Linked DNA regions of Lonchura striata. The protein of the gene in region 1 interacts with the protein of each later gene in a pairwise test. Links are inferred from orthologs where the notes say so. Each region holds a gene or a part of one and is shown on either strand. Other genes may lie near its edges.

Region 1 (3,922 bases):
AATAGCCCAGATTTCCTGACTCCCAGTGAAATACCTCAGGCACAAGACAGTCGCCAAATATATATCATGGTAACTTGTGCTCCACTAGAAACATAGGCAATGGAAAATAAACACAGGTGACATCCTGCCCATCTTCCTCACTCATCCATAAAAAATTGCTTCAGGGAAAGGGGAGGAAGCATTTGGCCTCAAATCAGAAGAGATATCAGAAGTGTTTCTTGCACGTTCACATTTGTCCTACCAGCCTACTGAGGGAGTCAGATGTGAAAGACAGACACAGAGCACAGTGACTGATGAGCTGCTTGCACACTGGTCTATTCTGAACTTCATGCCAAAAGAGGAAATACTTTTAAAATTTGTTTTCTACAAGATAGTAAAGCTGGAGGAAAAATGAAAACCACACCTTTTTTTTTTTTAATTATTTTTTCAATACTAGTGGTGGCTAAAATATGCTCTATGTTCAGCCTCCAGAGTTTTTCTAGCAAAGCTTAAAACTCAAAATTGATAAAACATCATGATAATAAAAGAATGATTGTCCACAGTTACTATTTTGCCATATGCTAAATATATGAATAAGTAAAAAGCAAAGATTGGAGCATGAAATGGCCATACAAGAATAATTTTCTAGTGAGATTTTCCCCCAGATCTTTTTTATATGATTAAGCAAAACTGAAACTTCTAGTGGTATAAAATAGAACCTTGGAATGATTTAAAAAATTATATTTAAAAGAAGAAAAAAAAAACAAACTTGCTAGTTATCAAGAAACGTATGCTGTGGATCAAGTGGGTGGATAGGAAGGGAGGACTAAAACTATATAAGTAGTGTCATGCTTTCTGCTTGTGACTGCAAATGTCAGTATTGTGTAAGTGTCTCTGCAAAAGAAAGTTCTTTCCTTAAAGTTCACAGTTAGTTCTACAAATACAGTCTTTGGCTGAAGAGCTAAAAAAAGAAACAACAAAACCAGTATGTGAGGGGCTGTTCAGCTCTGACCCAATTATGATAAAAACAAAAACTGAAATAAGTAATAAGAACGTAAGCAAATGCACACTTAGACTAAGCAGGTACCAGCACACAGGAGATGTAGCCATCAGATCTAGTTTGCTGCATGTGCTATAAACGTGGCAATACATGCCTGGAGCTAGAAAATGCACCGCACACGCGTGCAGCATCACACTGTGCTCTGGTTTATAGCAGCAGACCCGTGGTAGCCACTCCTGGGTGGCCTGAGCTCCCTGGCTCCTGGAACTTGGCTATATTTAGCCCGGCTGATGTCGCCTGTCAAGTGTGTCCTGCTGCTGATAAGGTGCCTAGTCGACAACGGGGGGGATCGAGGGGAGGAGCAGCATGGGGGCTTCCATCCAGTGCTTCTTTAGGGGGTCTCAAAAGCCCTGCAGTCACATTCCCGTGTGATTCATACCCTGCTTCCTAGATGCAGCTGGGAGCTCCACCAGAAACAAAGTGAAGATGCCAGAGCCGGTAAAGAAAACAGGTAAGGATCGTAACTGGCAGACAAAACTAAGAACAGCTTGACAGGAAAAGTGTGAGTAGATTATGTATTCTAGAGAAATGAGATGTCTCAATGGAAAAAAATAAATAGATAGGAAAAGGAAATTTTATTTTATTAAGTTATAAATGTAAGAGATATTGAGTGATCTTGAAAAGAAATCACTAACTGCTTTGATAACCTCAGCCACAGAATTTTCTCAAGAGACTTTGGATGAGGAAGAAATAGAGGTGAAATGCATTTAATTCTCAAATGCTTTTAATTTCTCCTTTCCTTTCTGGTCACCTTTAGGACTCAGAAAAAAAAATAAGTAAAGGCTTGTATTGACTCTCTTGGACAGTAAATAGTACAAACCTCTCCTGCTTTTATTTCGGGTTTGGGTTTTTTTCCCCTGACAATTTGTAGAAGAAATATTGCCAAAAAAATTGATGGTGCTTATTGTGAATGAAATCTCTGTGAAAATGAAAGCAAACAGTTCCTGGTCAGAGTTTATTCTTTCTGTTTATTTCAATGACTGAGAATAGAACTCTAGGGAAAAAAGGCTTTTGATTTATACTGTGAAGAATACATGCAATTTCTTTTCTCTTGCCCTTCTTCATTCTTTCTCCTTGAGCCAGAAGATAACTCGCCCTTTTCAGGAAACCAAGGTCACAGGGCCACATAGAAAAATGCCAGAAAAGTATTTCAGATTTATGAATGTTTTAATTAAAAATCTTCAAATAAGGAATCACTCAGATGCTGCCCACATAGAGGAGGCCTAGAACAGGGTACAAGGTGCAATGGATCTGCTGTTTTGATGAGGAAGAGAGCCTGGGAAGAAAAGGAAGAGGCACTTAACTTCAGGACACCTGCAGAGGAAGACATCTCAGGAGCACTTTGCATCCACAAGTTTGGAAAAAAAAGCTGACAAAATCTGAATTTATGATTGTTTGTCAATTGTAAACATATTCAATAGTCAGGCCTGGAGAAACTTGTACTAAATCTGGGATTCTCCACTTTAGAGCTGTCACTTCATTGATGCCAGTGCACACCCAGAATCGCCACTACCTGAATGTGCAATAGAAGGTGCACATGTTTTTAATCATGTGCAGTTTCCAGAGTTAGCCAGTGACAGCTGTGGAGTTTTTTTAATAATGGCCTTTGTGCTTTGCAAAGGCCTGAGCAGGCATTGGTCTCCTCTCAGTTTGGCCAGTGAGACAATCTCCTATGGTCACAATAACAAAAGAACTTGCTAAGAACCTTCATTTGACCAAAACATTTGAAATCAGCCACTGCCAGAGGCAGACCTATTACACACCCAGAGTCTCCCCCATTACAACCTGCAAAGCACCAAAGCATGGTTAACTCCAACAAGATTCTTTGTGTTCCTTCTGTATGATAACCCTAAAACAACAGTGATGTCAGCAACCCTTCCATTGTATTACAAATATAACATCATTTCATGTTCATGAGGTTACCATTTCTAATTAAAGTAGATTTGTATATAAAAAAGAAATATATATTAGATCCTGTAATTGTACACATAAACGTGAAAATATAAGCTGCAAAGGTTCAGTAATCACTCCAAAAATGAGAAAATCATACTCATATTCTGCTTTTAAATCATACAACTTTTAGGTTTTATTGAAAATGTCTCATTGTTGTGAATGCAGACAAAAATAAATACAATAGAGTAGGCAAAATTTGACAGTGATACCTTGGCATTATGACTTCTGATTTCTAATTGTTTAACTGCCTTTTAATAAATATTTTCATTCTCTGTGGGTGAGAGGCAGTGTCTCTGTTTGTGAAGATGCCCACTTTTGCTGGCTAATGGTGAAGGGAAATTCTATTCCAACTTATTTCTCCAGAGAAATCTAACAGGTGTCTAACATCACTAGTCCCACGCAGTTCTTATGAGCAAGCTAGACCAAACACTGGGATTATCACAGCAGGGGGAGGAAAAGCTCTTGTTACTCACTCTGACCGAGACAGAACCAGTCACATGCCCCACAACTTTTAGAGAGGATCTTCTCAGTCTCCCAGGAGACACTAATCCCTTTGGTTTTCTATTTCATGTTGTTTATACAGTTCAAACCATTTCAAGATGGGATAATGCTGAGCATCATCTCAGGAGGGCCAAATAACCACTGGGCAATTCATACTTGGATAAATCACAATTCCTGCCTTTCACACATCATATAGTTGGATTACTGAAGAGCCCAAAGAAATCCCTAGTCTGTATTACTGAAATTTGTGCATCTGGTGTATAGGCAAAAGAAATTTCTTCATGTCAAAGAATGACCATAAATATTCTGCTTATATCTGCCGTTTTTACAAGGCTTTTAACACATAAAAGGAAACAAACAACAACAACAACAAAAATAAAACCAAAACAACACCACCCAAAAACTAAATAAACAAAACCGCCCAAAAAT
Region 2 (3,922 bases), on another chromosome or scaffold:
GGCAGGGGGCACTTGGAGCACTGTGAGGGTCTGGGAGAGGGTTGTGGGGGAACTAGGGGCAACTGAAAGGGACTGGGAAAGAACAGGGAGGAACTGGGAGGGAACTGGGAGGGTCTGTGGGTGAACTGGGAGGGACTGGGAGGGTCTATAGGAGAACTGGGAGGGCCTATGGGGGAACTGGGAGGGACTGGGATTATACTGGGAGGGTCTATAGGGGAACTGGGAGGGACTGGGATTATACTGGGAGGGTCTATAGGGGAACTGGGAGGGACTGGGAGGGACTGGGAGGATCTAGAAAGGAACTGGGAGGGTCTTTGCAGGAGACTGGGATGATACTGGGAGCATGTGTGGGGAAATAGGGTGGGACTGGGATGATGCTGGGAGAGTTTATGTGGTAACTGGAAGGGACTGGGGGATGAGGGAGGGTACTGGGTAAATCCTGGGGGATACTGGGACTTACTGAGCAGTACTCTGTGTATGTGTGTGTGTGTATGTGTCTGTGTGGTGGTGTATTGGAGAAGTACTGGTGGGGCTGGGCTGGGATGCTGGGATGTAATTTGACTTATTGGGATATACTGGGACATACTGGGACATACTGTGTGTGTGCGGGGGGGGGCTGCTGTGTCCCGGAGCAGGACCAGAACTGCCCTGAGTCTGCACTGTCATCCTCTGACTTGGAGACTACTGAAAGAGGTGGGGCTGAGTAGTGGAAGGGCTGAGGGGTGTCTGGGGATACTGGGGGTGACTGGGGGGGTCTGGGATGATACTGGGAGGGTCTAGGGGAACTGGAAAGCACTGAGAGGGATGCAGGAGTACTGGGGAATACTGGGAGGTGCTGGAGTGGGCAGGAAGAGTGAGGCACTGCAAGGAACAGGGAGCACTGGGGAGGGCACTGGGACTTCCAAGAAGGAACTTGGGATGGAGATGAGGACAGGCAGGAACTAGGAGCACTGTAAAGAAACTGGAAGCACTGGAGAAAAATGGGAGAATATGAGATCACCAAGGATGGACTTTGGATGGGGCTGACTGGGAGCACTGGAAGCTTTGAGAGGGAATTCTAGATAATGGAAGCACTGAGGATGGACTTGGGATGGGCCAGCTGGGAGGAGTGGGAGCATTGGAGAGGAACTGGGAGCACTGGGAAGGAATGGAGTTGGGTTGACCAGGAGGAAGTGGTAGATGTGGAGAAGAACAGGGAATTATGGGTTCACCAAGGAAAGAGCTGCAATGGGGTCAGCTGGGAGGAACTGACAGCATTTGGAGGGTCTCATCCTTCCTACCCCACTCAGCCCTGTCCAGCGCCACCATGCCTGATGTGGAGATGGCTGAATTTGGGGAGGCTGCCCCCTATCTCCGCAAGTCGGAGAAGGAACGGTTAGCTGCCCAGACCCGCCCCTTCGACCTGAAGAAGGATATCTTCGTCCCTGATGAAAAGGAGGAGTATGTCAAGGCCACCATTGTCAGCCGTGAGGGCTCCAAGATCACTGCTGAGACCGAACATGGCAAGGTGGGGGGACCCCAGCAACACCTGGGACACCAGAACCTCAAAATAGCAACTCTATTCCACTTGGGACACAAAGAACTAACCCACCTTCTCTAGAATCCAAGAAACATCTAGACCCCAACATGCCTTCTCCAACACCTACTGGATGCTCAGATTCCACAGCACCTTCTCTAGAACCCAGGAAATATTTAGACCCTTATCCACCTTTTCCAGAACCCACTGGACAGCTAGACCCTATCCAACTTCCTCTCTTACCTCAGAGACACCTAGACCCCAAAACATCTTCTTTATCACTTGAGGGACACCTAGACCTTATCTGGCTCTCAAGGGAACACCCAGATGCCCAACTCCCAGCCCTTTAGGAGGGAACAACTGGGGCAACTCCTTGCCCTGTGTTCCTGCTCCATTGGGTCTTCCTTACATTGAGCAGACAGTGACGGTCAAGGAGGACCAGATCATGCAGCAGAACCCTCCTAAATTTGACAAGATTGAGGACATGGCCATGCTGACTTTCCTCCATGAGCCCGCCGTCCTCTACAACCTGAAGGACCGCTACGCATCTTGGATGATCTATGTGAGTTGGGAGCCCATGAGGTCCTTCAGACCCCATCCAGAATTTGGATGCTCCTTTTGTAGACCCCTTGGGCCACATAGGTGCAAGATGACCCTTCTCCAGATCTCATGGCTCACCCATAACTGGGATGATCCTTCTTTACACCTCTTAAGCCACCCAGATCCAAGGTATCCCAGACCCTTTGGGTAGTCAAAACCAGGATGTCTCTTCTTCAGATCACAGAACTGGGACATCCTCTCTTCAGACCACAGGGGTCACCTAAACCCAAGATATTACACAGACACAAGAGGTTGTTTCGGCAGACCCCTTGGACCACCTGGTAGGGTGGCACCTCCTTACTCTGACCCACCTACTCCTTTCTCCAGACTTACTCAGGGCTCTTCTGTGTGACTGTCAACCCCTATAAGTGGTTGCCTGTCTACAATGCCGAGGTGGTGGCTGCCTACCGGGGAAAGAAGCGGAGTGAAGCTCCACCCCACATCTTCTCCATCTCTGACAATGCCTACCAGAATATGCTAACAGGTAGGGACCTTCTGCAGGGACCCCATATTCATCTTCCCTGATCCTTTTTGGGGAGCAGGAGATGTGGGGCATAGCCAAGGTGGGCTTCAGAACCTCATGTTTCTTCTCCTTATCCCACCAGATCGGGAGAACCAATCCATCCTCATCACGTGAGTAGTCTCATCTGTAAACACTGTCTTAATCCTGCTCACAGCTAAGATCCCCCAACCTGGCACATAGCTCCTCCCCTTCCCTCTTGAAATCATGCCCACAGGCCAACCCTTTATCACTGCATGGATTTGCCTGTGGAGGTCCATTATCCATCCCTCCCCAGTGAGTTCCCACCCCCAGCACCATAGCACCAGTATCCAACCATTGCTCTCCTTGGCTACCTTCAGCGGAGAATCCGGGGCGGGGAAGACTGTGAACACCAAGAGGGTCATCCAATACTTTGCCGTTATCGCTGCCATCGGTGACCGTGGCAAGAAGGAGGCAGGGGCCCCGGGCAAGGTAAGGACAGTGAGTGGGGGAATGACACCCAGGGGCTGGCCAAAATTCTGCCACCTGTCTGTCCAACCAACAACACAATCAACCACCCAAACAATTACCCAGCGGAACACCCAAAAATCCAAGCAATCATCCATCCAACCAACCAACCAACCAACCAACCAACCAACCAACCAACCATCTATCCAATCTTCCATTCATCTGTCCCATCACAATCCAACCAACTAACCGTCCCTCCATCCACCCATGGCATCAACTCACATACCTGTCCATCAATCTGACCACACACAAAAACATTCATGGACTGCTGTGCTCTCCCATCCAACCATTTCAACCTCACACCCTACATCCTCTGCCCCTTACTGTGAAAACCCCCCTGACACTGTCCCACTCCTCCCAGGGCACTCTGGAGGACCAGATTATCCAGGCCAACCCTGCCTTGGAAGCCTTTGGCAATGCCAAAACTGTCCGGAATGACAACTCATCCCGATTTGTGAGTGTTGGGGGTGGAGTCTGTGAGGAAGAGTCTGTGAGGTGGAGTGCGTGGGGAAGGATCTGTGGGTTGGGTTGATCTGGGATAAGGTGGCCACCTCCACCTCCTTCCAATACTCTTCCAGGGGAAGTTTATCCGGATCCATTTTGGGGCTACTGGAAAGCTAGCATCAGCTGACATTGAGACCTGTGAGTAGGCTGATGTCCATGAGAGGGAATCTTGTTGTCCACCATCCCTTCTATCTCTCCATCCAACTGTCCATCCTTCTCGTCATGCCACTATCCATCTACCATTACACATCCTCAAACCTTCCTCCATTCATCCATCTGACCCTCCATCTCTT

Evidence for each region.
Region 2: the proteins of MYBPC3 (region 1) and myosin-7 interact in a two-hybrid assay, tested with the Homo sapiens proteins (2 studies listed by IntAct). The link is inferred for Lonchura striata from reciprocal best matches to the Homo sapiens genes MYBPC3 and MYH7.

What each region holds. Positions count from the first base shown.
Region 1 is NC_134608.1:39,282,113-39,286,034, reverse strand, and holds the start of MYBPC3 (myosin-binding protein C, cardiac-type), read left to right. Parts: upstream 1-1,332; 5' UTR 1,333-1,465; coding exon 1,466-1,490; intron 1,491-3,922. UniProt on the Homo sapiens protein: Thick filament-associated protein located in the crossbridge region of vertebrate striated muscle a bands. In vitro it binds MHC, F-actin and native thin filaments, and modifies the activity of actin-activated myosin ATPase.
Region 2 is NC_134603.1:70,135,934-70,139,855, reverse strand, and holds the start of myosin-7, read left to right. Parts: upstream 1-1,306; coding exon 1,307-1,507; intron 1,508-1,934; coding exon 1,935-2,078; intron 2,079-2,443; coding exon 2,444-2,600; intron 2,601-2,721; coding exon 2,722-2,749; intron 2,750-2,977; coding exon 2,978-3,089; intron 3,090-3,486; coding exon 3,487-3,579; intron 3,580-3,703; coding exon 3,704-3,767; intron 3,768-3,922. UniProt on the Homo sapiens protein: Myosins are actin-based motor molecules with ATPase activity essential for muscle contraction. Forms regular bipolar thick filaments that, together with actin thin filaments, constitute the fundamental contractile unit of skeletal and cardiac muscle.